Linked DNA regions of Schizosaccharomyces pombe. Changing the gene in region 3 together with the main gene of any one other region gives a genetic interaction. Each region holds a gene or a part of one and is shown on either strand. Other genes may lie near its edges.

Region 1 (10,138 bases), 1.3 Mb from region 3:
GTAATGTGAAGCAAAATGCCAAGTCGTTGGGTAATTAGAATTCAAGGAAGATATATAAGGATGTGCGGATTGAATACCAAAAGGAAGCATCTTCAAGCGATGAGGATGTCTAACGAGGGATTTTGATACGGCACTCTTGTTTCGATCATCATCGATATCTTCTGTTTGCTTGTCGAGTATTTGCCCTGTTGCAAGGTCAATAACTTGACCCGATTTGTCAGGATGATCGGACTCTAAAGATACTCTCTTTCGAGCAATTTCGTTCCACTCATTATTTTGTGTACTAGGAACAAGGCTATTTTGAGACGGCTCAATAACCAACAGGTCTTCTGCCCTTGGTCTTTTTTTGCTAGTACTAGAATTCTGGGGAACCAAATTGTAAGGCAAACTACTGTAAGGAGTTTTGAAGGCAGGAGGCGTGTCTGGAGTTATGTCTGATAAAGCGGCTTGTTTGGAAGTTGGGACAAAAGAATGCAATCGCGGTCGTTTCAAAGGAAAGTTTAAATGACTAACTTCTTTAGTTGGAGTGGTCGTACTGTTTTCATTTTGCAACGGGACAGATATCATAGAGTCTTGTGGTCTTTGACGCTTCATGGGCGAAATGCGAGTAGTAAATTAAAAACAAAATAATGTAAAGACAACAAAAAGTAATAAATAATGTTTGAAATGAGAAAAAAATCTAAATAAATCTGTTATGATGTTTTAGTCTAAAACCTAGAGGTAATACAGACTGCCGTAGTAACTTCCTTTAGTTCTAAATTATTTCGGTAAGTACAAACCCACAAACCCGTTCTCAAAATTGAATTAAAAAACACCGACAAATAAAGATCAGTTAATTTTTGAGTTTTTCAATTCAATAAAATTTCAGTCATCTATGTTGGTGAAGGTTGCACATTATGAGCTAAATCTAAATTTCGTCTAGTGCATGAAGTCAAGCATAATTAACCATCTAGAAAAATCCAGCAAAGTCGAAAACATTTAGAAGTCATTGCTTTCTTAGAAGACACGTTTTAATTACTTTTAATTAAATTTTTATTAGCGCAAATTCTGGTTGGTCATATATTCTGTAAGGGAAAAGTAAGTAGTAATATAAATTTGACATGACTTTTCAAAGCAGCTTCGAACCCTTTTTAAGATGTTAATTTAATTTACTGAATATTAATGGAAGGTTTGGATCAATTAAAAAATATTAAAATGCTTTAAATGCTATTATTGTTGCAACATTTCATTGTAAGTATATGTAAATAATCGGAATGTCAGATTTCAACTTAAGAAATTAAAAATTGAGTAGATCAGGAGATTATAAAGAAATAATTTGCTTCGGCATTGCTATATATTTTTTTGGAGATACTAACAAATGACATTTCATGACTCTGGTGATTAGGTTCTCGTTTTAAACTAAAATAATCATTGAAACGCATATCAATATATTTTTCTATATCGTGTTGTTCACCAGAAGCCTTCAATGCTTTATATAGGTGTTCAAATAATTTGCATGAATCTCTTTAATCCTCATCAGTTTTAATCGCTAGGATGCTGAAGATACAGATTTCTCATAGGCAATTTGTAATCACTAGTCATTCGTTTTGTACGACCAAAGCGCATCTATCCGGACAGGACATGAATTAGGTATTATTATAAACTCACAACATTTCATACTCTACTTAAAATTAGATGGGTTTTGCAATTACTTGATGTACTTGATGTTTTTTTTATTGTGCTCAAACTGAAAATATAACACCGGTTTAATTAATAGGCAATACTGAAATACCACGAATTGGTCGGTGATACTCATATAACCTGTACGTTTGAAGTTTTATGAATATACTCCGTTGCCTACAATAAAATTAATAAAAGACTATGATAAAAGTTTGAAATAAATCACATATTGTAAACATGGTAATCCTAACTCACTATTCATCTACTTACTCTCCTTAGTTAACCCACCATCACACCTGAACAATAGTACGCACTAAACAAAGAGACTCATTGTTTTTCGAGTTGATAATTTAGAAAAACCTGACAATCCTTTTTAATAAAACACTTATAATTAAATTTTCGGCCTTTAAGTATTTGTTTCTTTGAGTTGAGAATTGTACAACGGATGCCAAATTAATGAAATGGATCCCATTGATCCCGAGTTAAATGAAATTTTGGATTTTACAGAATATGGACCATTAACACCCATTCCTCAGGATGATGGCGAAAACCCATTAGCGAAAATTTGCTACACGACAGGATATGAACAAGGAATGGCTTATTTTCGTGCCATTATGGCTAAAAAGGAGTACTCCTTGAGAGCACTTAATTTAACAGGTTTCTTGATTATGAATAATCCAGCTCATTATACAGTATGGGCTTATAGATTTCAAATCCTAAACCACACGCCCAGTTACATAGACAATGAATTAGAATGGCTCGATGAAATTGCCGAAGATTTTCAAAAAAACTACCAGGTTTGGCATCATAGGCAAAAAATACTTTCTTTGACTAAGAATTATGAGCGTGAACTTGAGTTTACGAAAAAGATGTTTGAAATTGACAGTAAAAATTATCATGTCTGGTCCTACCGAGTTTGGATCTTGCAAAATTTTAATGATTATTCTCAAGAGCTGAAGTTAACCAACGAATTATTGGAAAAAGACATTTATAACAATTCGGCTTGGAATCATAGATTTTATGTTTTGTTTGAAACCTCCAAGGTGGTTTCTTGGTCTTTGGAAGAGGAACTGAATTATCTGAAAGACAAAATCCTTTTTGCTCCTGACAATCAGAGTGCTTGGAATTATTTGTGTGGGTAAGTATCTCTCATTTCCATTAATTACATTCTTCATTAACTTTTTTACAGTGTACTTGACAAATCAGGACCTTCAAAACTTGATAATCTCATAGCTAATCTCCGAAAAAATTTGCCTGCTTTACACAAGCCACTCTTAGAGTTTTTAGCTATGTACGAGCCTTCGTCGTCTGAAGAGATTTATCAAAAACTAGCAAATGAGGTTGACGTACCGCATGCCGCTTTATGGACATGGATGTCCCAAAGGAGCAATCCTTAAATCTATGCTTTGAATGCTAATTGGGTTTACTGATATTTTGATAAAGCATCTTGTTTAAAATTCCTACTAATTAAGAAAGTAGTTGTGATGTATAGTGAATCGTTTATGAAATCAATAACATTAGTCATTCCTCCAATTGTAAGTTTCACATAATAGTGAACAAGTAATGGTTATTAGGCCAAACAAAGAATAAAAAAAATGTCAGAGGCATATTTTTACTTTTCTTTCTTAAGGTTTCTTCGAACAAGTTCCAAAAATCTATAGATATGTTAGTGTTCGCACAATCAATGGAATACATTCAAAAAAACATACGCAGGATCATTTTGAATTCCAGATTTTTTAAATATCTCCGTGATAGTTTCAGCTAACTGCTTGAATTCCGGATCACGAGTAATCTTTAGGATAGTAAGAGGTGACGGTTTTGAACCAGCTTCAAGGCCGTATTTCTCAAAAAACTGACGAAGACGGCCAACCTTTTGAGCAAGTTCCGGATCATTAACAACTAATGAACTCATTTTCTCTTCAAGTTTCTGGACTTGCTCATCCATTACTGGATCCTTGAAAATAGTGTCGTCAGGTTGCGTAGTCGCACTTCTCTTCCATGTTAATATACTAGGAAACCTATTCCTATACAGAAGAGCATTGTTGTATGTAAGAGGCCTTCTGATAGTCAGCTGAGACAAATACTTCCAATATTTCATATTTGTAAGGTGGTGGTTAATTTTGTGTTCTAAAGAAGTATGAGGGATTAGGGAATGTGTCGCTCAGATAAGCTTGCTGCGGCAAATTAATACAAACTCTAAACGAAATGAAATCTTTGTTTTGGATACGTATTATTCACTCATAATTCTAAAATTTTGACTGGCAATATAATACTTTGATTCTTCCTGTTGTAGAACTATATTGTCTCTTAAAGGAAGTTAGTAGAGGATCTTAGTACAAGAAGGTAAATACAATAAAAACTGACATACGAAAATACATGAGGTTTTTTTCCATCGAAACGTATTGTTCCTGAAACAACAATTATGATATTCATATCATTACCCATGACCTGTTGACTATCGAAATCCTCAACTTTAGTTTTGGAGTATGGAAGATTAACTATCATAGAGGTAAATTCGGTTACTTGCATGGGTTTTCCATTCCATAAGATCAAACTATTTTCTCTGTAAAATTCTGCGATCCCATTTCTGTTCGTATCAAGAGATGAGTAATACCGTTGGACGAACTCCTGCGCATCTTTAATTGTTAGTTTATAGATAAAGCTTTAGTAATGCGGCATTTAACATACATTTTACACTCGACTCCATAATGATTCACAATGACAGAAATTTGTAGTGGTGTAAGTAGTCATTTAAACAGGTACATGTGTTATAAATTGAAATATTGTACTCATTAAGCGATATTTAAAGATAATCTTTGTTCAACACACTGAATGGATATTTCGGCTAGATATCTTTATGACTACGATTTTTACTTATAACATGAAGAGTGGAGAACAATTATGTGTACTCATTTGCCATACTACAAAAGCATAGATCACGTAAAAACTCAACGAATGATTAATATATTAGTAAAAAAATATATATTCGAATGTAACATGATAACTCGAAAGACAATTTGTTGTAAATGAAAACAAAAAATAAATATATGTTCGAAGAAATAGGTCATTAAAAGCCATGGTATGGCAAGCGAAGAAGATGGGAGAATAAGTGGTTTAAAGCTGAATCAACATTTTTTTGACTCAGAAATGCATTGGAAACAAAATGCTTTTTTACAAGTGCTGGAAGAATGAGGGTTCTGAGTGCTACTTCCTGAGAACGAAGTTTGTTGACTTAAAGGTTGAAAACCAAGATTAAAATGATGGGTAGAAAGATTAGGTCGAGGGGATATCATTGAAATTAATGAAATAAAGTTTCTTCGTTTTGTAGAATTGGAGTTTCGGACTTTTGACTTAGAAAAAGATCTACGTAAAGGAGTTTTAGGAGATGATAATAAAGGGTTCCTTCTTCTCGGTGAAGATAAAGTATCAGAGATGACGTGCAAAATCTCATTTTGTTCTATGCTTTTATGCTTGATTGTATCCAAACCACGCTGATCTGTTAATGTTCCTGATGAGTTTGGCAACAGACAAGATTTTTTTTCCAAAGCTGAAGCATCAACTTTTCTTGTTTTATCATTGATTTTTAGTCTCACGCATGACTGAGAGGGTATAGTTTCATTACAAACATTTTCCACAAAAAGTGAAGCTAAAGGAACTTCATCTGCAAACACACAATCTGACACCATTTCATCACGAAGTGATAGATTTTTAAATTTATAGATCTGGGGAGACTGAAAATCCTCTATATGGACTGGTGAAACAGCTTTTTCCCCTGGGTTGCCAATGCTTGAGTCTAATTTTTTTTCGTATCCATTTGACGCTGAGATTTCAAGGTTGTTAAATGTAGGATCCCATATATCATCTTTTGTTTTTAAAGCTTCTAGATGTCCATTATTAACAATAATTTCACCAGTTGCAAGATCTACTTCATCAGCTATATCAGAAGTGTCGCGTCCATATTTTTTGAAAAGAGATTCCAAAAAGTCGTTGTACTTCTTTTCGGACTCAATTCTTTTACAAAACACATCATCACAAGCCGTAGGATTAGTATTAAATTCGACAGACTGAAAAGACAACAGATGTGGACAAGAATAGTTTGGAGGCAGGTCAACGGCTTTCGGTTGACGATTGCACATGATTGAAAGTTAAAATCATTTGGTATTGAGAAATTTTGTTCAAAAAATCCTTTCCAATAAATTTCTTAAGGCAAAAATTGGAGATTTTCAGTTATTAGTAGGAAAGCGATTTCAGTAGTGGTTTATTAGTGAACGGTGCCATAACTGTAGACTTGTATTAGAGTTTCGTAACTAATTCACGAATGACTTTTAGATTTAATTTCTGTTAGAACTTAGAGATCAAAAAAAAAAGATAATGAAAAGTTCTTTTGAATAGTTTATGCAAAAGTGTAATTTCAATGATGGTCGCTTAACGCTTGTAAATTAACTCATTGCTCCAAAAGACTGATTTATCTGTTCTTGCACTAATTCTATACTGTTTAAGAATTTCTAAAATACATAAAATTAATAGACATACAATTTTGTAATAATAACGAACGCTGCGATACCTTGTGGATTCCAACGAACATAGCAATTCCACATTACTTTTTTAATGATAAAATGAGAAATCAACGATACCTAAAATAAAGAAAATAAGGATACTCGTTTTGGTGAATATTACTTTGCATCATTTGCACAATTTAATAAAAAAATCCCATAAGTTGAGCATTCCATTTGTCACATCGCCCCAAAGAAGCGTGACGATTCTTTGGCTTTCTTTCACAAATAATTCGTATTAGTTGAAAGCGTTCTGTTCGACAAGTTTAGCCATATTTTGATTGTTCATTCATGTAAATATGAGGATACGTAGCGCAGCTCCTCAATAGAATTCTTTTAGAAAGTGTCTATTGTACCAACTAGTAACTATTATCAATTCCATTACAACATAGAATTGGAGAAATCATCGCTAAATAATTAGAACAAAGGATGAATTGATCTCGGCATTGTTTGCATTCTTACTAAGTGCCAAGTGAAACAGACAATAGCGAGAACAATAGAAATGTTAAACAAAACGACAGAACAATTTGGACACGATAGGGAACGTATTGTAAAATAAACTATTTTTGGCTCTTTGTGACTTAGTCTCATGAACACAGTCTTCTATAACTTGAAGCAAAACCGAGTCGTTTCATGTTTCAGTTTCTTACGGTATGCTTGTTTTGAACAATTTCTTTACCGAAGCATTCACATGAAAAGAATTACTACACCATATGGAATATGACAATAGGAATTACTCATTCCCCTCCAACAATAAACGTACCCGTTACCTGAATAGCACAGCATGCCGATGAAACAAAGGAAGTTGAGTACAGCGCAACTCTTTCAACTACTCCATAATTGCACTTTCTTTAAAACACTACACCATTGTTTGAGCATTGTATAGTTCAAATACTCGAATTTCTTTGTATTCCTTCACCATGGATCCTAAGTATAAAAAACCGCATAGAGCTCCATATTTGTCATTACATTTGAAGGTTTCGTAAAGCAAGCTGAATAAGAAACTGCAATCAGAAAAAAAAGAAGGGAACGACGAAGACTTTGTTTTAGTACTAGTATTGCAATTGACAAATAGGTTCAGCAAGGAATTTTGATCACTTAACTCGATTTTTTTGAAACCTCTCTGATTTTGCCATTCGCTCGTCTACTTATTCCTCATTACCTTTTGACACTCTTTTGCTTTTTCATTTTTTAGTTTTTTTCAGACTAGTAGAATTTTGAAATAACTTCTCATTGCATTGCATCGCATTTCTCAATTTTTTATCTATCTTTTGATTTGAGTCTTGCTTCTTTTTAATACTTTCTTTTCTTCTTCTTTGAAAAACATTATTAATTATAATTTTTCTTTTATCGCTTGATCTTCCCATAATTCGTCATGTCGATTGCTTTGGCTTTCTTTATTCTCGTTTTGCTAGGATTTTCCTGGGCATCCCCATCTGCACTTGATGACACTTTTAACGTCAGTCGGTCAGTAGGTTTAATTTCATCTTCTAATTTAGAATCTTGCCAATCAAGCCCTCTCGAAGTTGGCAATATCTATAACTCAACCTCTGCTTCTGAGATTCTAAGTACCTTAGATGCCAAGTACATTACTATAATTGGTGTTATCGGGTCTTCCAACTCCTCCATTCAAGACTTAATTGACTCTGTTGGCAATTCTAATAATGCAGCTTCTTCCAATCCTACTTCCACCGTTACGGAATACGTTGACAGAGTTCAAACTGTTACAGAATATGTTACGTTGTCTTGTGGTCAAGCTTTCACTTCTACAGTAGACATTTCTTCTAGTACTAGTTCATCTGTTATCAACTCACCTACTGGTACGGCTGTTAGCTCTCAAATTTCCACATTATCCATGAGCCCTTCATCAACACCCGTATTTTCTCCATCAGCTAGCGTTTCATCGAAAGTAGCTAGTTCTGTTAGTTATGTTTCCAGTGAACCCAGTGACTCATCTTCATCCACAAATACAGTGATTTTGACTACATCTGTTAATTCCCCTGCTGTTAGCAGTTCGGAAACACTTACTTCTGTAAGTATCACTTCTACCGAATCGGCATATACTTCTTCATCCGTAGACATTGCAGCTTCAACTACTGCTTCGAGTACACTTCCTGTTAGTACTTCAGAAGCTACTGTTTCCTTTTCTACTGATATCCCCGCAACACCCTCCACTTTGTCTTCTCCAGCTTCAAGCTCGTCCAGCTATTTAGTGGAAACATCTTCCACTCTTACTGATAGTGTGTTTACTACTGTAACCGCTACAAGTGATTCTAGTGTTATCACCTACACGTTAATCAACTCTGTAACTTCCAGCTCTGAAACTACAAATTTGCCTTCTTCAAGTTCATCTTTGGTTACTATTGGTGAAAGTAGCTTTCCTAGTTCCCTCCTTTCACTACTAACCCAATCCTTCTCCACCGTACGCTCTACTAGCTCTTCGTCTACTGATCAATTGACTTCAGCCTCACCAATCTCATCATCAGTTATTTCGCCATCGGTGAGTTCTCCAACCAGTTCTATTTTAACAAATTCTGGTTCAATAAAATCAGGTGATCATCAAATAGTTACTACTTCATTTGTTCAAACAACCACTCACGGTTCTCAGGTTGAAACCCTCACTTATGTTACGACTCTCACTGAAACAATTTTAACAACCACTTATGACTCTCACACATTCCTGACAACCATCACTCCTTCACCTTCAAATTCTATAAGCTATACAAACAATACCTTCATTCCTTCGAGTTCGATTAAATCTTCCATTGTGTATAGCGTTACCCCTACATCTGCAGAAAACTATACTTCTTCCGAAGCTTTTTCAACCTCTAGTTCATTAGTTGTTATTCCCCCTGTAAATTCATCTCTTGTTACAAGCTCTACTTCTTTCACTAAGTTTTCAAGTCTTAGCTCTTCTCAGTTGAGCACAGAAAACTTTACCTCTGCTTCTTCTTCCTTAAGCTTAACGAATGCTAAATCATCATTGAGCACTCCATCGACTACGATACCTACTTCAAACTCATCGGTTTCTTTGCAGACTTCTTCAAGTCTGATAATTTCTAGTCCGATTATATCTTCATCACTTACAGCGACTAGTACTTCAACACCTGCGCTAACGCATTCAATCACTCCTTCCAATACTTCTTACACTTCAAGTCTAATCCCTTCTAGCAGCACAGATTATTCTAGTAGTTTAATTACTGTTTGCAGCAATGTCACTAGCGAAATTTCTTCTACTTCTTTAGCTTCCTTAATCTCCACCTTAACTAGTCAGCAAATAAGCTCAAATAAGTCTTCCGAATTTGTTGGTCAAACAACTACAGAATATACTACTTCTGGTTCCGTTGGATTTACCACTACGTTAGCTACGCAGTCTGGTAGTGTACCTGGTACCGTACTTGTTGACGTCCCTACACCATCCTGGATAACTGAAACCGTTACATCTGGATCTGTTGGGTTCACCACAACCATTGCTACTCCCATTGGAACCACTGCTGGAACTGTCCTAGTCGATATTCCTACACCATCTTGGGTAACTGAAACCGTTACATCTGGATCTATTGGATTCACTACCACTATTGCTACTCCCATTGGATCCACTGCTGGTACCGTACTTGTAGACGTCCCTACACCATCCTGGGTAACTGAAACTGTTACATCTGGATCTGTTGGATTCACCACAACCATTGCTACTCCCATTGGATCCACTGCTGGAACGGTTCTCGTTGATATTCCTACACCATCTTGGGTAACTGAAACTGTTACATCTGGATCTGTTGGGTTCACCACAACCATTGCTACCCCCGTTGGAACCACTGCTGGAACTGTCCTAGTCGATATTCCTACACCATCTTGGGTAACTGAAACCGTCACATCTGGATCTGTTGGATTCACTACCACTATTGCTACTCCCGTTGGAACCACTG
Region 2 (13,130 bases), on a different chromosome or scaffold from region 3:
TTTCAATTGAGCTTTCTTTTAATTTCTAACTCTTTATTTTAGTATGAACGCACCTGTTTTAGTTGATTTGGAAGGTGAAACTGATCCTTTGCAAATTGCCATGAAGGAGCTTGCACAAAAAAAGATTCCTCTACTAGTCCGGCGATATTTACCCGATGGCAGTTATGAAGACTGGAGTGTAGCGGAGCTCATTTAATTTAAGAAGTGTTCCAATTTCAAATACGTTCTATCGCTCGTTCGATTCACCTCGTTCTTTTCCTAATTCTTTTGTTTTACGTGAGCGAAGCCGTTTGGCTATGGTAAAGAAAAGAAAATAAAAGCAAAAGGACTAAATTTTTAGCTCTATACCATTAATTTACGATTTAGAAATAGGGACGTATTTATCCTCGGGAGAAAAAAAAGGCTTGTGCTACTATTCTAGAAATCTTCTTTTCTTGTGTCAAAAAATTTTTTGGGGCATTTTAGCTCTCGTTCTTCAATGAATGCATTTAATAATAACTTTTTCCGATAGTTTTAGTAGCTGTGTAAATGTAAACTCATTGATCACGGAGTTTTTTGTACAACTGTTAATCTGAAAAAAATTCTAGAGCACAGAAAACTCAAAATTGCTTACTACACACCTATCATTCAGATATGTTCAAATGTTCTATTACTATCAGTTTCAAAGCATGGATTGCGAAATTTACAAGGTATAATATCTAATGAGTGTGCTCATGAGATGGATGCGAATGTTCACCAGAAGACCCATTTAAGTGTTGCCATCTATGAACCTGATTAGAGTCAGAGGAAAGTGGTGTCACGATACAACTGGAAAGGGCAGGGATAGCATCCAAAACAGTCTTTTCTACCTTTTGTGCCAATTCGGACGACTGTTGAGATGTGAAGGATGGAGGAACAGATATTATCACATGCATGGCATGTGCATTTCCTAATATAGTAACGATTTTATATGGAAGCTTTTCTCCCTTCAATAAAGCATCAGTTACTGCGATACGTAACTCTTCGGAAGGTGCTCGGTCCAAAAGCTGCAAGAAGGCCTTTTTAGAAGAGTTGAAGCCGGCACTAAAAACGACAATACTTACTAAACAACCAAAAAACGGATCTAGCCATGGAGCATTAAGAAAGTAAGTGCCGGATAAAGCAAGCAGTGAAACCATTCCCGTCAATGCATCTGCTCTATGATGCCAGGCATTGGCTAGTAAGATATTTGAATCTGTTTTTTGAGCCACCGTTCTCGCTAAATATACTATTAGAATCCAATAATAGGTGAAATTACTTACTTTTTCGGAAGAGCCATTCTTTAAGAACAACACTACCAAATATAAGGCCAAGTGCCATAAAGGGGTGTTCAAACAATAGTTGAGAAGGATTATGAGAATGACCAATGTGCGTGTGTTCTGAACCAGCGTATGGGAATAGTATAGTATACAATCTCGATAACGATGAATGAGCAATGCCTACAGATACAGCCACCAATAAACCAGATACGGTGAATGTACCTATGGTTTCCCATTTGCCAAAACCGGCAGGGTACTTTTGTGTGGGCTTCTTGCTACATATTTTCAAGGTAGCCAATGTTACCAAGTCCGAAAGTGTATCTCCTAATTGATGAGCAGCATCGGCGACAAGAATGCTAGATTGTAGAGCAACTCCGCCGATACCTTTGGCGGCTGCTAAGCCTATATTGCTGTATCTATAAAAAGTGTTAATAGTCAAGAATATCTATAATAAAGGGAAGAAATTGTCAAAAGATCTGTCGTAGAACGAAAGCATAAGAGAGTACCAGTTTAAAAATGGTCTCATTAAATATCATGAGTTATTTAGCTAACTTTAGGGCTACAGTTCCTTTGTTGCCGCTATGCTCCGAATTGATAAGAAAAGATGACTTTCTTTTTTTCTTTTCCATACTTACAATCCTAACCACGCAAGTTTCAGCTCTGGAGATTTCCCTTCTTTTTTCAAAGCTTTAACAAGCTCTAACATTTCTTTGTCCGATCCATGGTCATGGGTATGAGTGTGAGAGCCAACACTATGCATTCTTACAGCATTCCGAATTTCAAAGCCAGATTTCTCGTGCAATCTGCTGCACAATGTCGGTAGAAAACGCGGCATCGCTCGACATGAGCGCGCTGACGAATTGAACGTTTTCAGCATAGTGAGTTTTGTACTGTTAATTCAAGAAAAGGGATATCTATATATAAAACAAAACTTCTAAAGAAGTAAATATGTAGAAAACCTGGAAATTAGGGCTCAACCGGCTGTCTGTGAACTTTCGATTGCGGATGCAATCTATTTTTAAGTGTATTAATATTTTTATCAGAAATTGCAGACGAGGTTCAGGAACTTTGACTTACTTAATTAAACTGTGTTCAAAAATAAAAAATGGATAACTTAATAATCCGAGCGAAGCCTAAAAATCTAAAAAACCTCCTATTTCAATTCTGCAAAATTTGAGCTTGCAAACTCATAATTTTGTAAGCAGCGTCTGACTTTCAATTATAAAAATCTAAATATCCGTCCAATTCTCTTAAATTAGTTAAGATCTTTGTTTTGTTTAGGATCGGTCTCTTCTATCGATTGTGTATATATGTATCTAGGAGAACGTAAGATGTCGATCCCGTACTTATCAGATCAATGTGAAACTTTACTACACCAGATTTGCACATCCGAGAATCTTTTAATTATGGATAGTTTATTTATATATTAACTAAACACTTTATTTTGTAGCGCATTACGGGTTTAACAAAAAGATTTATAATTTCATTATCAGTCAAGATCTACCATTATTATTTCACCAATATTAAATAGCATAAAATATATACATTTTCTTTAGTAACATGTGAATTAACGAAAACGAATGAACTAGTATACAACAAGGATAAATGATATTTCCAAGCGTTAAGCACAAAATGAATATTGGGAAAGGAAGTCGCTTCGGCGCAGCATAGCTAATCATTCCCATTAATATCTAGCTGTATTTGTTCCAAACAGTAAGACAAGCAGACGAAAGGGCATAAGTTGATGTACAATGCACCACTTCCGAAAGAGTATTCAAAACCTCACTAACATAAGAGTCTCCTTCACTTTCCGCATACATCTGTTTCACAGCGACTGATGTAGAAGCATAAAACTTTCCTACTTCAGTAGTTTGGTAGATAGTATCAATTGGGAGACCGAAAACAACCTTTACCTTAGATGATACCGAACGCAGGTATAGCTCAACATTTATGATAATAGACTTATCATCATTTTCAACTGACAAAAAGGGCCAATGGTACCATAATCGCTGGAAATCTTGGACAAGATAAACAATTTGTTCCCAACAAATTGAAACATCGTTAAGATACTTCTTCAGAAGACGTAAGTTCCTAGAAAATACCTTGGAATGCCATTTAGAAAACGACGATGCAACATGCTCGAGCACATTTGAGCTGCAAGCATTACTTTCGTTAGGGAACTTACAGGCAATATCAACGTTAACTTGGAAATTTTGCCTCAAAATCTCAACCGTAACCTCGGCTGAATAAGGAGAAAGAGCAGTGTTATTTGTAGCTAATTTAATTCCGCCCGCGGTCAAAGAAACTATGGTCCAGCCAAGTTCATTTTTAAGATTTAACAACTGCTCCTCGTATCGCTTAATTTCGTCAAATTCAAAATCTTGGTTTTTCGCATAAAAATCTTGTTCAGCGTTGGTACGTAATTCCAAATCAGAGCAAGAGTTTGTCACTTGTTCTATCTTTATTGCCAACTCCTTTCTTCTTTCTTCTTTTTCACTCAGAAGCCGACGTCTCCTCTCAACCTCAACCTTGAGTTTCTCTAACTTTTCTTGCGCCTGCGCTAGAAGAGTTGAGTCATACTGATTTGCAAATTCCTTCTGCTTCTTTAATGTCTGTACTGTAGTAATACTACCATTGTATCTCTCTTGAATTTCCTGCGCATACGGATGAATAACATTCGCGACATCCATTAAATGGGTCAAGCTTCTTTGCATCCCAGTTAAATTTAAATTTAATTCATGTTTGATTCCTTGCATCAAACCCTCACGCCATTCGTACCAATCACCTTTTGCTTGAAGTCTAGCAAAAGTTTTCATCATTAAAAATTGTGAATCCATTAAAACCCTCATATCACTGGATGCTTTCCTATACTCATAGAATAGTAACGGGTTCTCTTTCAAAGTTTCCTCTTCAATTTTAGTAACAAAATCCTTCCCTTCGGCAATATAATCCTGTAATTGCTGACAACTAAATTTGTATAACTCTAACAAAGGGAATTGTATGTAAAAAGATTCCAAAAGTTCTTGGATACTGCATTTCTTATTTTCTTCAGCATTTGGCAATAGGGTTTCTCGTCTTTTAGCAATAGTAAGATTATCCAAAAATTCAATTCCGGTCATTTTAAGAAAATCTGATAGGCTTATCGGCTCGACGTTTGGTAGAGTTGGCATCGTATCAAATTCTGGCTCATTACCAACAGGTATTTCTTCATTTGGACCAGAGTCTTGATTCAAAATGTTCGTGTTAATAGTCGAAGCGCCCAACGATGTATCAACATTGCTCACACCTTTTGATAATTTGACGGGTGACTTCTCATGTTCATTCATGCCCACGGAAGTTGTATTACCTGCATTTGACGAACCAACTTGAACAAGTTCATTCCGGTTGGGTTCCTGAGATTCCAATCGCTCCAAACTAGTTGAATCGGCGTAATCTGCAGTTGTTATACGCTCTTTTTCATCCTCATTCGAAGGTTGTTGAGGAAGCTTAACAGAAGAAGTCGTATTAGTTGGAACGTGCTTAATTTCGTTAGTCTGTTGAATTGTTAGTCGCTCTGTTTTACTCAATCCAGAATCAACATCTGCATTAGACACTTGTTCGCCTTTGTCATCAGTGGGTTGCCTTGAAACTTCTTCAGGAAGACTTGAAAGCGGCTTTTCTGTGGTGAATGGCTTCTCTGCGGTAAGTGGAGTAGCTCCTAGACGATAATTTTCGGATCGCTCAACCGATTTATAGAGACCAGAATTTACTTTTTTTTCGAAAAAGTTAACCGGTAGAAGTTCTCTGTCATTCAAAGTTGAAATTGATTTTCGAGCATTACGGATTGTTGCAAGACGATTGCGACGCAAGGTACTTTGATCAAAACTTGAAGTGCTATATCTTAAGCGTCTTTTCCGAGTACCAAGCTTATCAGTAGGAGTCGCTACCACATGTCTACTTGGAGAAGAAGAGTTAGGATCTTTCGAAAATTTTAGATTATTGTTCCCATTTGGTGACCGTTCATGGTTGGTAAAGGAGGTAGTATTGAAATTTTCTGACTTATCACTATATGAGGGTATTTCTTCTCTCTCGGCATTTTCCTTGTCTGCTGAAGGTAACTCAACATTGTTTCCACGGATTTGAAAAGCCACTGTTTCGTCCATAGCAGCTTCTTCCACCTCAAGATGAGATGTAGAATTCTCACAAGGAAAAACTGTTGAGGTTAATTCCATTGGTTGCTCTTCGGAAAGTGCTTCTTTAGAAGGGGATAATATATTGAAAGGTCTAGTAATGTCCATAAAGTCCTCACTGTCGGGAATGGGCTTTGAAGAATTGGCAGTCTTGTTATTATCCTTTCTCGGTTTTGAAGAAGAGGATATATTTGAGGTAAATTGATTTAAATCATCTTCATTCAAATGGGTGGGTGCATTTGTAGAGCTAATGGGTTGTGTCAAGTCCATTATTTGCTCTTCCATGGATCGTGACGATGGACGAATGGGGGAAAGGAGAGTTAAATGTGAGTTTTCGATATTAAAGGCGGAGGTGGTATCCATTTCTTCTTCTCCATTAGTTAAATCGTTCGGAGAATGATTAGTTAAGTGAGGATTAGCATTAATTGGTCGGGTAAGGTTCATAGGCGCTTCTTCTAAGTTTTGTAAATCTAAGCCATTGGAAAAATGAGACACTGGAGATAAATTAATGTTATTAGAGGTAATATCCATGTCAACAATAGCTTCTTGGGAAGTTAAAGGGCGAGCGATGGGGGAAAAGTGTTGCGGAATTTCAATAGGTCGAGTTAGCATCATATCTTCTTCTTCTTCTTTATTTTCCGACTGATCGTGATTTTCGTTATTTTTGGAGAAATCCGAAATTTCAATACTAGTTGGACTAGATGATTTGTTAGGGGATGAAAGTTGAGTTTGGTTTGAAGGGTCATGAGAAGCTTTTAAACTATAAACAGTACCTTGCTCGCTAGAGCTAAGACCTTTAATTGATTCGGAATGTGATAAAAACGAATCTGCTTCTTGGAATTGGATAGTCAAATCCATGTTAGTTTCCTCTCTATCATTAACCTGCTCTCTCGTGGCATCGTGAACATCAAGTGCCTTTTCTGCTTCAGGTAAGGCTTTTGTTGGATTCTGGATACTTAAATCATCATTCTCCGGATACAGAGAAGGAGGCGGATGGCCAGCATTCAATGCCTCAGAGACCATATCTGATTCGGTTGACCGAATAGGGGACGCAATGTCCATATCACTACCGTCTGAAATAATCGAGGCACTATGACTATGGGGAGATGATTGTGTTTCGTTTCTCGAAAAACTTGTCGTTGTTGGACCTTTAGGGGAATGGTTTTTAGCATCAGATGCAAAAGTTCGCTCAGGTGTGCTGTGATTAGATGTCGACTTTTCCGAGTCACTCTGGTGATCTTTAGGATACCAACGTACACGTGCATGACTAGCAAAGGAAACTCTTCTGTTCAAACTTTTTCTAGACGTCTCACGCGACAATTGCTGTAGGTCTTCCATTTGAAGTCTCTTTGACGCAGCCATAACATTACTAGAGATTCCAATGACCGTGTTATTTATTTGTGTGTGTATATCATTAAAGTCTTCATCTCCTGTGAAAGCGGGATCTACGGAAAAGGATGAATAACTCTTTAGAATGCCTTTTGCTGGATTTGTGTGTTCTTTAAGTTCTTGAAGCGCACCAGGTCCTCCAAGCGAGTGTGGACGCTTCCTACTTTTGTTTCTTCCTATAACATTATCGGTCGTCGCTATACTATTGCGACGAGGCGATGTTGGCATCGTCAAGTTAAACAAAGCACGTCGACACACGAACTTTGTTGTTTTTAGATTAAGACGAACATAAGAAATTGTAATGATAGTTCGTTAAATTTATGGCGGTGAGTTTCTTTTTGCGGCCTAGAACGCCTTTCGTTGTATTATTTAAGGAGTCTGTAAGCCTTTTTAGGATACGGTAGACTACGATGATGCTTTCTGTAATCATTCCTGTTAGCTAATCTGAATAAATAATGAATAAAGATCCTATTTGTAAAAGTTCCAATGAACAATATGACTGTTGTTCATTCTTATCATTAACAAATTGTATAAAGTAAAGGTAAATTGGGGGTACTTTTGTTCAACTGGGTCTATTTGTAATATTGGGTTTTCTGTAAACAATAAGGTAATGAGCATCACAAGCATATGCGCACTGTGATGGAGGAATACAAACTTCAAAAAGGTATAGATATCTAAGATTCACTTGAATGTTTTGTCAAATGAGCCGCACTGTTCTTTTGGCATAATTTAATGGATTAACTTGAAAGCAATGTGCGGTTGTAAGAAGTATAAGTAAATTGTAGCGAGGTTGTTATAAATTATTATTTCGCAAATTGTATATTATAATAATACTCGTGAATATTCCTTTAAAGGAGTGTGTTTATTTAATATCATTCCAGCGGCTTATAATCAATAATCGAGAAAAAAACTGTTTATTGTTAGTATTTCTATAATTTGATGGATATTGCCATGAACTTACAACCACATGTAATTCTATGTTCTACTTTCCATTGAGGTTCTCGTAACCTGTTCCATCATTGTTTACTATTCAAAAGTGGTTATAAAAGGTTACCGGCTAAGCAAATATAAGCTAGCTCATTCTGAACTATTTCCTGTTCATTTCCATGGTTATACTTAGCCATAGTGAAATTGACCAGACATTAATTCGTGTACTTTTCCTTTTACGATGATATATTGATCACAAATAGAAATTATAAATCCTTTTAAGTCAGATTACGATTGCGTTGCTAAGACCTGAAATTGATATATTATGTACTATAATCCATATGTGTTATTAACAACACTAATGCTTTCAAATCACAGTAAAGCTTAGTAACATAACTAGCATTTGTACAACATTTAAATGAGTAAAAAAAAAACAAGTATGGCTGAGCTCGCTTGTCTTAATATTTTTTATTAGAATGATAAATCATATACCACGATTAGGATTTCTTTGAAGAATGGAAATACAAAAGGACGTAAAATGTTTATATTCGGCACAGGAAGGATAGCGTTGTATAAACGAATGATAATTGTTCAGTATTTCAAACAAGTAAGGCTTTTGTCATCAATACTAACATTCTTTTTTTTTTTTTAAATCCGGGAAATTGACAATTCTTACAATTGGATATTTGTAAATCCCGTGTATCCCGTAGTATGGTATGATATTCTATTCGTTGCATTTGGTATAAGCCTTCAAATACGAGCAGACTTGGTTAGCCCAATATCATTCTCCCATTTGGATTTAGTCAATGTTACGATATAAATGGTCACAAATCTCCGGTATCGTAATGTTATCCAGTTTCAAACGACATAACATGTTTCAATTTAATAATGACTTATTAATAGTTGCATAACTACTGTATTTCACTAGAATCCTTTACTTAGCATAATGTGTGTGACATGATAAAAAGGGCGTCAGACATCTTCTCTGAGGAAGATTTGATAAAAATAGAAAAAGTATTGTCTATACAGCAGTCCAGGCTTGTCCTTTAACAATTGCAAAAATATAGATTATTCCACAATTCATTTAGCATACTAACTTTACTTAAAAGGGGCCAAACTAATGCTTCAAATTGCAAGGATTAGCCAAAATTGTGCCAAAAAAAAAAGAAAAAAACACACAATAAGACAAGTATTTCTTCGTTACAACACTAAATAATGAAATCCCAAGAATCACGAAGTTTTCTATGAGTGCTCCATCATAAATATTCTCTAAACAAGTGGACTTAATGTATCCAAACATAAACAAATACAGAAATCACACCCATTAAATATTTTATGTAACGATCCGCTTAATAATAAAATTGTAAATTTATAAAAATAAAAAAATAAAACCACGCAGTATTCAATAATATTTATCTCCGGGTACAATGAAGCTCCTAGTAAATATAAAAGACAATTGCAAATTCAGGTAATCGACCGGTAATTTTTACACAATAATGAAAGCATTGTTACGAGACTGACCTATAAGATGGTATTATTACTAAATGAGTCTGCAACCACGCCTATATTAGGTCAAAAAGCAAACCAAGGGAGAAATGAAGTCAATAATACGCATAGGAGACGAATATAAGCTGTGAGCTAACCAAACCGCAATAAGAGGCTTACAATTGTTCCCCGCATGATTTTTTGAAGCTTTTACTATAAAAAGGAGTCCTTCGTAACGGCTGGCGACTTACTAATTGTCATCCAATTCAAACAAATTTTGTCAGTCTTTTATACACAACAATAGAGCCAATTCCAGTTCTTTTACCTTTTCATCCTCACCAATCTTTTGCGCATAGTCGTTTTAATAACCTTTGACTAATATGCAACGAAATAACGGCGAAGGGCGACCTGAGGGTATGCATAGAATTAGCCGCTTTTTACACGGCAATCCTTTCAAGAATAATGCTTCTCCTCAAGATGATTCAACCACAAGGACAGAAGTTTATGAGGAAGGGGGAGTGGAAGACTCCGCCGTCGATTATGATAACGCTTCAGGAAACGCAGCTCCACGTTTAACTGCCGCACCTAACACTCATGCTCAGCAAGCGAATTTGCAAAGTGGTAACACATCAATTACCCATGAAACTCAAAGTACCTCCCGAGGACAGGAGGCTACTACATCTCCATCGCTATCTGCTTCCCATGAAAAGCCTGCCCGTCCTCAAACCGGCGAAGGCAGTGATAATGAAGATGAAGACGAAGATATTGATGCCCTAATTGAAGACTTGTATTCTCAAGATCAAGAAGAAGAACAAGTAGAAGAGGAGGAATCTCCTGGACCTGCTGGAGCTGCTAAAGTAGTCCCCGAAGAGCTCCTTGAGACAGATCCCAAATACGGTCTCACAGAATCTGAAGTCGAAGAGAGGAAAAAGAAATACGGTCTTAATCAAATGAAAGAAGAAAAGACAAATAATATTAAAAAATTCCTTTCATTTTTTGTGGGTCCAATTCAATTTGTAATGGAGCTAGCTGCTGCATTAGCAGCAGGTCTCCGTGATTGGGTTGATTTCGGTGTGATCTGCGCTCTTCTGTTGTTGAATGCAACGGTCGGCTTTGTTCAAGAATATCAAGCAGGATCCATTGTTGATGAACTAAAGAAAACAATGGCGTTAAAGGCAAGCGTTCTTCGCGACGGTAGAGTGAAAGAAATTGAGGCCAGCGAAATTGTTCCAGGTGATATTTTGCATCTTGATGAAGGAACTATATGCCCAGCTGATGGTCGCCTTATTACAAAGGATTGTTTTCTCCAAGTGGATCAATCCGCAATCACCGGTGAATCTTTGGCAGTGGATAAACACCAAAATGATACCATGTACTCATCTTCAACGGTGAAACGTGGAGAAGCTTTTATGGTAGTAACAGCAACAGCCGATTCAACTTTCGTAGGACGAGCAGCTTCTTTAGTCGGGGCAGCTGGTCAAAGCCAGGGCCACTTTACCGAAGTTTTGAATGGCATAGGTACAATTCTTTTGGTTTTGGTTATCCTCACCCTTTTATGCATTTATACAGCTGCATTTTATCGTTCTGTTCGTTTAGCTGCTCTGTTAGAATACACTCTGGCTATTACCATCATCGGCGTCCCAGTCGGTCTTCCTGCTGTTGTTACCACAACTATGGCAGTTGGCGCAGCCTACCTGGCTAAGAAGAAAGCCATTGTACAAAAGCTGTCAGCTATTGAATCACTCGCTGGAGTTGAAATCCTCTGCTCTGACAAAACTGGTACATTAACGAAAAACAGGTTATCGCTTGGAGAACCTTACTGCGTTGAAGGCGTCTCACCCGATGATCTTATGCTTACCGCATGTCTGGCTTCTTCGAGAAAAAAGAAAGGGTTAGACGCCATTGACAAAGCATTCCTTAAAGCGCTAAGAAATTACCCAAAAGCAAAGGACCAATTGTCAAAATATAAAGTTCTCGACTTTCATCCATTTGACCCTGTTTCTAAGAAAATTACAGCATATGTTGAGGCCCCTGACGGTCAAAGGATAACCTGTGTGAAGGGCGCCCCTTTATGGGTCTTTAAAACTGTACAAGACGATCACGAGGTGCCCGAAGCCATTACAGATGCGTACAGGGAACAAGTCAATGACATGGCTTCACGTGGTTTTCGTTCATTAGGTGTTGCGAGAAAAGCCGATGGAAAGCAATGGGAAATATTAGGTATTATGCCGTGCTCAGATCCACCCCGTCATGATACGGCTCGAACTATTCATGAAGCCATCGGTTTAGGTTTACGTATTAAAATGCTTACTGGTGATGCGGTTGGTATTGCCAAAGAGACAGCTCGTCAACTTGGTATGGGTACAAACGTCTATAATGCTGAACGCTTAGGTTTAAGTGGAGGTGGTGATATGCCAGGTTCGGAAGTCAATGACTTTGTAGAAGCTGCTGATGGATTTGCAGAAGTGTTTCCTCAACACAAATATGCAGTCGTTGATATTTTGCAACAAAGAGGTTATCTGGTAGCAATGACAGGTGACGGTGTTAATGATGCTCCATCATTAAAGAAAGCAGATGCCGGTATTGCTGTAGAAGGCGCATCTGATGCAGCCCGTTCTGCAGCCGATATTGTTTTCTTAGCCCCCGGTTTGTCGGCTATTATTGATGCACTAAAAACATCTCGTCAAATTTTCCACCGCATGTATGCATACGTTGTATATCGTATTGCATTATCTCTTCATCTCGAAATCTTCTTAGGTCTCTGGCTAATTATTCGTAATCAATTATTAAATTTGGAGCTAATCGTTTTTATTGCTATTTTCGCCGATGTAGCCACCCTGGCAATTGCCTATGACAATGCTCCTTATGCAATGAAACCAGTGAAATGGAATTTGCCAAGACTCTGGGGACTTGCTACTATAGTAGGTATTTTGCTGGCTATTGGAACTTGGATTGTGAACACCACAATGATTGCCCAAGGTCAAAATCGTGGTATCGTTCAGAATTTTGGTGTCCAAGATGAAGTTTTGTTCCTTCAAATTTCTTTGACCGAAAATTGGTTAATTTTCATAACCCGATGTAGCGGTCCTTTCTGGTCTTCCTTCCCATCATGGCAGTTAAGCGGTGCAGTATTGGTGGTGGATATCTTAGCTACCTTATTCTGTATTTTTGGATGGTTTAAAGGAGGCCATCAAACGTCCATTGTCGCTGTTATTCGCATTTGGATGTATTCTTTTGGAATCTTCTGCCTTATAGCAGGAGTTTATTATATACTTTCAGAATCCTCTTCATTTGACAGATGGATGCACGGAAAACATAAGGAACGTGGCACTACCAGAAAGTTGGAAGACTTTGTTATGCAGTTGCAACGTACCTCAACTCATCACGAGGCCGAAGGTAAAGTCACTAGTTAAATTTAGAAAACCATTTCAACATATTCGTTATGTTACCAATTTTTATTCATATTATCACTTTTTTGTTTAATAAGATCAATTATAATCCACGAAAAGATAAAAAAGGTTAAATAGGTGTATACTGAAAGTCATTACTAGGTATTGTAGGGTAAAAGCATCATCTTATTGCGGTAGACGAACAATTATAAAAATTGTAGTTAACCTTAAAATTCACTTTAAGGAAACACTAATTTCGCAATAAAGATAATGATGATGAGGTATTGCTATTTCAAGCATTATTAAACACTTATAAAGTGTTAACTCGGTTTTAATTAAACATTACGCGTAAATCAACTAAGCCATTAGAATGGCTACCGTCAAAATAAATTATTAGAGACATCAACATAAATAACAAAAGGAATGAACTTTTTCATGGAAAAAAAAGAGACTTAACGAAGACAAATCAAACAAACAATATTAAACCGAAATGT
Region 3 (9,761 bases):
CTCTTACCAAGTTGAATACCGAAGACCCTTTTTGGACTAAGGGGTCATCTGACGATGAACATACAATAGCCTCTGTAGAACAAGACGTATATCCATATAAAACTAGTCTTCCAACTATTGTTGAAGCGACTACTTCTCACACTGAGTCAAGTAACTCAAAGGCTCCCGCAATTGAAGAAACGACAACTACAAAGGTCGAAGTGGTAGCTGCTCACGATGCAGTTTCAATATCCAGTAATTCCAGTACACATAAGTCTCACTCTGAACCATTAAATAGAGATGAGTTAGAAGTTGCTGCCTTAAGCCGTGGATCCTTGCCAGAACCTCCAAAACCCAACAAGCAAATAGTCGTTCAGGAAGAGGATCAACGAGACACACTATCTCTAAAGACAAGCACGACAGGTTTATCTTCTCATTCTAAAAGTGCTGAAAATAATTCAACTCAGCAGTCGACCACTTCTCCTAGCATTAACTCCGGTGCTTCAGCGGATGCTGTTTCTTCTGGAATTTCCAAAAAGGCTGATAATAGTGAAACTAATTTAAATTACTTTGCTACCTTAGATGCGTTTGTCAAGAGTCCATTGATGTCGTTCGATGGATTGGGTGAATTAGGTTCTACCGATCAACGTTACAACTTTTTCAATCAAAAGATTCAAGAATATTCAGCATACGATTCGGGCCTTGATAATTGGATTCAGTTTTGCTTAGAAAAAGATGGTGAGGCTCCAAAGGAAGCTCCTCCTCCTCCTCGTTCTGAGCCAGTTTCAACTACAACCAAACTTGCCAAAAGAATTACGCAGCCTTCGTTGAGTCCTGCAAGGTCAACTGTTACTATAACTCACAACATTGCTACTGAAGCAAAAAAGAAGTCTAAATCTGCTGCTAATGATATTTTACATTTGTTTAAGAAGAAAGCAAAAAGTGAACAATCAAACGCCAAGTCGTCATCTAGCTCTATCAAAGAATCCAAAAAGATGAAAACTCTTTTCGGAAAAAAATTGGGATTCAAATCATAAATCTTTTGCATACACTTTTTACCTAACTTTTTTCTCTCTTTTGTAATTTTCTAATTTATGTATTGTTTACGAAGCATTGCATTTCAATCAATAAGATTTTATCTAAATATTGTTTCATTTTCGTATTGCGCATTTTTGTGAAACCATTTAGTTATTTTTATCAGACGATGAGTTAAAATATCAAGCATATTCTGGTTTTGCTGCCACTTGTCTAAACCAAAATAAGAAACTGGACGAAAAACTTTCGACAAATTCAGGCTAGTACACAAAACAAAACAATCGAAATTAAATATTCATCATTTTTTGGGATATTCTTTCGTTTTCTTGGTGTTTTAGGATTCTGAGTACGCTGCTTTCAAGCTAAGTTTCATTAAATGGATGTCGGCTGAAGAATACATTGAGGTATCATCTTCTCCTGATATATTCACGGACGTATGAAAAAAATATGATATTCTATAGCAAATGATTAGAAATATTACATTGAACTGAAGTAAATGTATATTAACTGAGCTTTAGGATGATGACATGATAACAATAGAGCCAGAGCTAAACAAAAACCCTAAAGATTGTAATAGTAAACGAAAAAGATCTGTTACTGAATGTTGTGAAATTAGGCTGATAACTTCTAAATGTGATTTTGAGTCTACTCAACAGCTTGTGCATCACAATTGTACGGGACATAAGGTTCATGAGCACAACTTAAACGCTGTGGATGAAGAAGATTTTGATACTGAAAATCTCCCTCTTCTTTTTTCTTCCTTTAGCGACAATGAATCAGATATCTTAGAACCCGATCTTAACACTCGGGTAGCTGAAGATAATGATGTCCTTTTATCTAGATACAGCAAAATTAAAAATAGTGCTTCATGCAGAAATACTTTCGAGCACTCTGCATATCACTCAAATAGGGAAGAAATATCTTCTAGTGGTTTTTATTACCATAGGAAGCCTCAATTGTTCGAAAAATCTTTAGAGAAGTTAGGAAATAAATCAATTGAAGCCAACAGGAGTCCTCTTATAAAAGAACTTTGTGAATCGGCTAATTCTACTGAAAACGTTTGTTTTTCTGTTTCCACCGTTGATGAAATTCAGCAAAGGCATCCAAGCGCCGGTCATTCAATAGACTCAACTTGTCAGTCAAACTCGTTTCTTGAAGGCGATAGTGCTACACATAAGAAAAAAAAAACGGACAATATTAAAGAGTTTACTTCATGTGAATTTAATGACCGTAGCAGAACCCTGTTAAACTATGCCGGTTACATGGACACTAACAAAAACGCTGATAATGAAGCTAAATCATTAAAAGAAAAGTTGGAGAATTTTCCGGTTGAAAAATTACGTGCTATAGCGGAAAGTTATGGCTTCAAATCATCAGATTCGAAAGCAACTCTCATTAAGATAGTAGAATCTTGTTTGGATGCAATCGATAGCCGATCTCAGTCTAAAAAATTAGGCAAAGAAACTCCCCATGATTATTTGATAACTTCTACTAAAACAGTATTGGAGTTTGATGATATAGTGACACAGACTCATAGAGCAATTTCGCAAGTTGTTAAGCAAGCCAAAGACAATAGTGTGTGGATTAAAATTCTTACGTATTCTGCTATTGATGTGGAAGAATTTCAACTTTGGCTGAAGCGGAAAAATTTAAATGTTTCGCTAGATCTTATAAAGTCTTGGTGCGATAAGTATGGAGTACTCATGAAAGGGAGTTGGCATTAGCTAGCTAATCAGTGATTTTTGAGTGAAAATTGATGGTTTTTAAAGCAAAACAATATCATTTTTACAAAAAGATTTTGGATTTTTGAGCATCAAAATTAACAGCAAACAACCCAGCTTTAGATTTAAGTCAATTCAAGTCCTGTTTTAGATAAGAATCGTCCTTTGCAGCAGTGCTGAGGAAAAATCAAGATATCTTTTATGTGTTATAACGAGTAACATATATTATTGGAATCAAAAACTAATCATTATATCTTGCTTGGTCTTTGGAAACAGTTTGAACTGTTTGAGATAGCTTGTCTATGAACTATTTTGGAATATTCGGTATACAAATTTAGTACTATAACTTTTTTGTTAACACCACGTTTTACAAGGCAGTATACGTTGTTAACTATGAAAAAACCGTAACTCCAATTTATGTAAAATATGGCTTCTGTATTGTGATATTCAACCACTGAACTTCTTTTCATATGTCAGTCAGAATGCCAAGTAAATCCAACTGCTGCTCTTTTAGTATAAATGTACTGACTACAACAGTAAAATTGGTCTTTCATATAAATCTAGTACTGCACCTTTACAGCGGGCTCATGACGGACTAGTGATAGCAATTCAAATGAAGATGTTATTTCATTCCTATATCTACTGTATCTTTTTCTTAAGCAAACATAAAGTGTTTTGCGTATTTGTTGCATACGCCACTATATATTTCGGTGACTGACGTGCATATGAGGTGTAGACGCAGCAGCACCCATATATACATTCCAATTCCCACATACTTCCCTTCTTTGATCGAAATTATTGCATCTTAGAAAGTATTTATTTTGAGTATTCAATTTGATTTTGTTTTTATTTTTGTAACCAGATATGATTGTTTTACACCACTTAAAGAACTCTCGCTCTACTCGAATTGTATGGATGCTCGAAGAACTCAAAGTGCCTTATGAAATCAAAGTTTATGACCGTGTCGACGGACGTGCTCCCCCAGCGTATACTAAGTTGTCACCATTAGGCAAGAGTCCTATCGTTGTCGATGACGGTGTCACTTACATTGAAAGTGCAGCCATTTTGGAGCACCTGGTCAGAAAGTATGGACCGTCATTTAAACCCTCAGAAGAGGATGTTGCCGAATTGGAAAAATATGAATTATGGATGCACTTTTCTGAAGCATCTCTTATGCCATTTATTTGGGCAAGTCATGTTTTGGATCTTAGTGTGAACATGACTCCCATTTTCTTTCGTTATATTGTTCGCCAGTTTGTGAATGGGATAAAATCCAAGTATCTAAGTAAAGAAACATTTTTGAACCTTGACTACATTGATAATCACCTCGCATCGAACGAATACTTTGCAGGCGAACAGTTCACCGCTGCGGACCCGCAGATGTGCTTTCCTATATTTGCTGCTCAAAGAGATTACCTATCTCAGAAACCTTACAAAAATATTAAGCGTTGGATGCGGGTTGTCAGTGATAGGCCTGCATGTCGAATTGCTGCTGAAAAAGTTGAAGACAATACGTTGACTTTGTTTTCTGATGTGGAAAGGTACTCCCATCCCCCTACCCCTCCTCCCGAGCAAGTTCGCTCTGATGAATAAGATTTCTGCCGTGGCTCTTTTTTTCTTAAGCAAGTCGGCTTGAGACATACAAGGCTTCAGCAAGCTTACTTTTTTATTCTGCTTGTACGGAACTTATGCTGTTAATGTAGATAATGATTTGTACAATAACTAGGATATTGTGGTAACTACATAAAAATTTTTGCGACACCCCTTTTGAAATGATTTTCCGATGCAAGAAACAAGGCTTCGGTGCTTAAACGCTTGGACTTTTCTCTCTTTATCTGTCTCCCTCTCTATACATATATATATATATTATATACGCGTATACATCTAGTTTTGTGAATGGGAACATGTTACTGTTATTTAGTCTGAAAAAGAAGTTATGGTTACAAATCTTGTTTTTGATTTAATGTTAATTTATATATGACTACTTTTGAATTCAATAAGTTTTGCTGCTGTTGCATGAATTGTTTAACTAGGTAGTGAAAACTTAGAAGAGTATTTATTTTGTAAAGAATGCTTTAGTGTACAGTTAAACAAGTTCTCCATTTTCTTTCACTTTATGACAGAAGACATAAACAGGGCCCTACTAACTAACTTTTTTTAACATGAAACATGAAACAGTATAATGAACTTGGACGTTATCGTAATCACTTACAACGTATGATTTGTTGGCCATCCTTAAACAAAGAAAGTTGGAATGATGTATGAATAAAATACCATGGCTTACAAATTGTACCGAAAGCGTCCGTAGGCAATTGCTACTACCACTAATATAAATGGACAAGAAAGAGTATTGTTATTATTGCTTTGAAGTAGTTGCTGCAACTTTAGAGCATCGAAAGGTCCGAGACAAGTGGAATGCAAAGAGTTGGACCCGTAGTATCCCTCTGTTCGTAAAGTTTGCATCTGGAAAAGGCCATGATAAACAACTACGAGGTTGCATTGGAACTTTCCGGGCACGTCCTTTAGTTACAAATTTAACATATTTCAGTAAACAAGCGTAAGTGTGTCTAAAAATGGTTCATAGTTCGTTGTAGGCGTCAATGATAAATCATAGACCTTCGTATGAAATTGCCGATGAAATTGAAAAGAAGAGTAACCGAATGCTAATACAACATTTTAAAAATAGTGCATTTTGTGATGAACGTTTTCGTCCTATCTCCTTGGGAGAATTGGCTCTTTTAGAGTGCCAGATAGACTTGTTAGTCGACTTTGAACCGATAGATGATCCATTAGATTGGGAAGTTGGCATACATGGCGTGTCTATTAAATTTACGGCAAATGGAATTCGTTATTCTTCGACTTATCTACCTTCTGTAGCGGCTGAACAACGTTGGGATCAAGAGGAAACCCTAGAAAGCTTGATACATAAAGCAGGCTACTATGGATCAATACGTTCTTTACAAATAACTGCTACTCGCTATAAGTCCTTGGAAATCGGGTGTACTTATGAAGAATATCTTCATAATTTGGAGCTTCTGGGATAACCTGATCTATATACAATGGTTCTTTTCTATCTATTTACATAGCGTAATTAAGCTATCGCTTAAGTTTTCAGCCAGTACTATCACATCCAAATTCTTTTCAGACTAATGATTTCTATCTCTCAGCTAAAAATTTAACTTTCTCTTAATATATTCTAATCTATTAATCATATATTCTTAAAGAAAAACATTTCTTTCTAGCATTCATGTCGTCTCACGGAGATGCTAGCGTTTTACCAAAAATTGCATTGGAAAGGTGTGTTTCATAATCCCATGTAGTTTAGAGCTTTTATTTATGCTTTTAATTTGAAATTAGAAAATCTGATTTTAACACTTTATAAGTATCAACGATTACAGTTACGTAAAATCGGTGTTTCGTCAAGCCATACAAGAAAAACTTGCTATTCATTTACCAGAACAAGCTTCACGGGAAGCTGGAATGGGTCGTGAAGACCAATTGCGAATTCGAGTCAAAGAAATGTTAAACGAGGTGAGTATACAGTACACGCTTCTAATCAGCCATAAAGTCGAAATTCCATAGCAGCTTCGATTAAAAAAAATATATATATATATAAAGTAAAATGAGAGACCTCTTCAATTACTAATGCTTAACATATAGCTGATTGAATCCACTTTCTCAATAATACAAGAAAACGTTACAATCAATGGCTTTGATGCAAATTCAGCCTTGCAAGATCCAAAAAATTCCGACCAAATTGAGCCATTTGATCTGGCTCTTCGTACTCGAGTCCAACAATTATTCAATGAAGTAGAAGATGCTCATGTCCTAGTGGCTCGATACCGAAAGTCTGTACCAGCACAATATGAAAAGGCATATGTTGATGCGATGGAGCAACAGACCGCATTTTTAAGAAACGTGAAAGATGACTATGTTTCTCTCCAAGATAAAGAAGTAGAAAACCCGGATGAACAAACTTCGACAACTGTGTTTAGAAAAGAGGACATCGACCGATACGAGCAGACTATTGCTAAAGTAGCATATTTAAAGAAAAATCTCCCTAGAGTAGTTGCCCGATTGGAAAAAACTCCTTAATCATTAATAATTTTAATATACGGGTAAACTAATATTAATTTAGTGCTATTTCATCTCAACTTATACTTCATTCCAACTGCTCACCAGAAACAAACCGGTTGATTCATAATGTACTAATCTTAACAAATCTTATTAATCAGTGCATAACTGCAGACAACATATTAAATAGTTTATCAAATTCGTATAATGCTTATATTGATTCTAATTATATCAGTCTTTTTCTTTTCAAAACCATGGAAATTTAAATGAATCAAATTTGTGATTTTAATCATAGTACCACGGCTCGTGAACAACTAAATTATTGTCATAGTAATGTCCATTAACACCCGTTCCTTCAAATAATGATGGATACCTGTGTGATTCAGGAACGTGTTCCTTGTCGATTCTGACGTTCCTACCTAAATCTTTGGTAACCAAAAACTTTCCGGTTTGAAGCTCGGTGTCTGTTATAGTAGAGCGATGAAGTCTAGCATAACCAATTCGCTTGACACCTCGATAAAATATATACTGACACCAACGATCATAGTCAGCAGGTTCAATGTCTAACATTCCCGTGTCTCGCGTTAGAATAGTTTGGGGTTCTTGGCCAACGTTTGAAACAACATATCCGAGAAACACTAGAGGCCTTGGACTCTCGCGCATAATTCGAGCCAACTCAGTGCTCTGAAGACGTCGATCCAACTGACTTTCATATTGACCATTGTGAGAAACCACAACATCTATTAGCTCTCCGTAGACATCTAGTGTTGCATGAATAGCAGGAGCAAGTTCTCCTTGAGGAGAAGGTAACAAATGGTGAGTCGAGTTGACAATAGGAAATTTGGAGAGTAACGCAGCGCCCCAAGTATGTTTATCAGGGCCTGGGCCATAATCCGCATACATTCCTAGATCATGTGCTAAAACCTGGGTTAAATCTCGAAATCCCATAATTAAACGTTGTGTGTCAGATTCCAGTAGACCAAAGACATCAAGTTCCATATCTCGAACAGCATCGCGTATACGATTCTCACTTGCATACATGAAATTGTCTAAGCCAAAGTGAATAGTCCAAATACCAGCAGTGAAAAGCTTTTCATTTGGATGGTAAGGTGTATAGTCATACGGAGGCATATTCTGAATGGCAAATTTTAGGGCCATAAGAGCCAGACAAAAACCTGTCAATAGTGATTTTTTGAAACTTCTTCTACGATAAGAAGAATCTGATTGTTTGATATCTACTACAGATGAGTCTGCTTTGTTGGGTTCTTTGGACTCACCCGAATACGCAGGTACTAAAGCTGCAAGGTTCCAACCAATGAAAATTAGAATGTAAGAAGTTCTCTCTCGAAGAATGGGTCCACCTGGAACAAACTCGTAGGCTACGACCCAAACATGAGCTAATGAGTAAAGGATGTAAACCAAAAAAGCGCCACCCCAAACCTTCGCAGGAGAATAGAAGGAGGAAATTCTGATAGAAGCGAACGAGTAAATTAAAACGTAGGAAGTAAATATTAACCCACCCAAATAACTACACCATCCATGGTTAATATACATAAAATATGATCCGAAGCAGGCTAAAACAAATCCAATAAGCATAAAAGCACCTGATTGATATAAATAAGGGGCTACCAAAACAGCGCAAATGGAAACAACTATTGAAACGGCACCGTGTGGATAAGGTTGCGGTCCCTTAATAGGATACCCATCCCACGACCATGTCATAAGAACTGTAGAGTCACAAAGAAAAGTATGCAGACAAAAAAGTACTGTGCCCAAGCTTAGGGCTGCAGACAGAGCAGTTATCTTCCTTAGTTTAAAATGTTCCACGGCATTCGCTGTTGTTTGCTGCACATGGAAAATGGCAAATATTAGACATGCAATTATTCCGACAATTAACGCTGGGATTTGTTTTCCACCGTTTGTTTCATTTAAAATAGGCCATATAGGATTGTTAGAAAAAAAAGAGTACTTGGCGATTGAAGACGCAAGCAATCCAAACAAAAATGTGCTAATTTTACGTTCTATTGCTAAATTTTCAGGCGAAATATTTGAAAATAAAGAAGTCCAGGCGAGACATTCACAACAGACAGAAAACGCAGTAACAAATAATCTGTGCACCGGGTCCTCAAGCTTATAGGCAGCTATACCTATAACATTTAAAAATAAAAATATAACAGGTACTTTTGAGGCAAATTTTCGCAATAGTGGAATACCAAGTAAGAATGGAGAAAGTTCGAAAAGAATGCACGCTTCATAGCCCGAAATCCCCATATGCCATAAGGGAAAATACCATACTAATAACCCTAAGCTAGTAAGAACGCTCCAGAAGACAAAAGAAAGATACACCTCAGATGAAAAGTATAGCAAGCTAAACAAGATTTGCTTTTTGGAACACTTGACGTTACTATCTTTTTTGATATTCTTTGCTTGCGTGCCAACAGCTGCAGCCTCTGCATAAGACAAATGTTCTCCTTTCTCCTTCTTGCGTGTAGCAAAAGAAGATGGATTAGAGTAGGTTTTTGATGTATGCAGATTAAACACGAGTGGTTTAAAATCCCAGTACAACGCAGAATCAAAAAGTATGTCCCACAATATCAATGACCATTCAAAGAATGCATAAACAGTATAGGCACCAGGAATATGTTTAAACTTGTGCTGAATATACCAGTAAATTAAGGGAAATATAGTCAAAACGAACAATGCTGATCCAATATTTCTAATACGTGAAGCCATGGAATTAACTGGTGAACATTTTGAAACCAAAATAAACCAAGGAGCGTTAGAAATTAAATATCCAATCATGAAAATATCATGCCAATCATGGTCATCAGTCGAAGTTACATAAACCCATCCACCACAGAGAGCAGTTCGTAAAACACCCAACGCTGTAGTAATAATTACTGATGGTCTTGAAATTCCGCTTAATGTAAACCAAAGCAACAGAACAAGAAG

What was found.
Region 1: of mis14 (region 3) and scm3, extra expression of one impairs growth in a mutant of the other (dosage growth defect), as found in Schizosaccharomyces pombe (one study listed by BioGRID).
Region 2: of mis14 (region 3) and spc7, extra expression of one rescues a mutant of the other (dosage rescue), as found in Schizosaccharomyces pombe (one study listed by BioGRID).

Annotation. Positions count from the first base shown.
Region 1 is NC_003424.3:1,857,591-1,867,728, reverse strand, and holds scm3 (CENP-A histone chaperone Scm3), read right to left. Parts: upstream 5,923-10,138; 5' UTR 5,796-5,922; coding exon 4,785-5,795; 3' UTR 4,597-4,784; downstream 1-4,596. Other genes in the region: SPOM_SPAPB1A10.05 (uncharacterized protein), read right to left, coding at 1-594; geranylgeranyltransferase type 1 alpha subunit Cwp1, read left to right, coding at 2,121-2,797, 2,849-3,056; protein dpc13, read right to left, coding at 3,272-3,314, 3,369-3,757; mRNA export receptor Nxt1, read right to left, coding at 3,967-4,295, 4,348-4,366; cell surface adhesion protein for conjugation Mam3, read left to right, coding at 7,588-10,138. UniProt on the Schizosaccharomyces pombe protein: Centromeric protein that plays a central role in the incorporation and maintenance of histone H3-like variant CENPA at centromeres.
Region 2 is NC_003421.2:783,552-796,681, forward strand, and holds spc7 (outer kinetochore KNL network protein, KNL-1 family member, blinkin, Spc7), read right to left. Parts: upstream 7,110-13,130; 5' UTR 7,064-7,109; coding exon 2,969-7,063; 3' UTR 2,738-2,968; downstream 1-2,737. Other genes in the region: DNA-directed RNA polymerase subunit Rpb6, read left to right, coding at 43-196; mmt1 (mitochondrial iron ion transporter), read right to left, coding at 699-1,237, 1,281-1,693, 1,913-2,154; P3-type proton ATPase Pma2, read left to right, coding at 9,628-12,660. UniProt on the Schizosaccharomyces pombe protein: Acts as a component of the outer kinetochore KNL1 complex that serves as a docking point for spindle assembly checkpoint components and mediates microtubule-kinetochore interactions.
Region 3 is NC_003424.3:3,110,634-3,120,394, reverse strand, and holds mis14 (MIS12/MIND complex Mis14/Nsl1), read left to right. Parts: upstream 1-5,848; 5' UTR 5,849-5,982; coding exon 5,983-6,032; exon of another isoform or gene 6,033-6,118; coding exon 6,119-6,266; exon of another isoform or gene 6,267-6,395; coding exon 6,396-6,830; 3' UTR 6,831-6,943; downstream 6,944-9,761. Other genes in the region: protein Rng10, read left to right, coding at 1-1,016; structure-specific endonuclease subunit Slx4, read left to right, coding at 1,395-1,448, 1,533-2,738; glutathione S-transferase Gst3, read left to right, coding at 3,600-4,328; SPOM_SPAC688.03C (AMMECR1 family protein), read left to right, coding at 5,069-5,292, 5,422-5,779; cwh43 (glycosylceramide biosynthesis protein), read right to left, coding at 7,095-9,761. UniProt on the Schizosaccharomyces pombe protein: Acts as a component of the NMS (Ndc80-MIND-Spc7) super complex which has a role in kinetochore function during late meiotic prophase and throughout the mitotic cell cycle.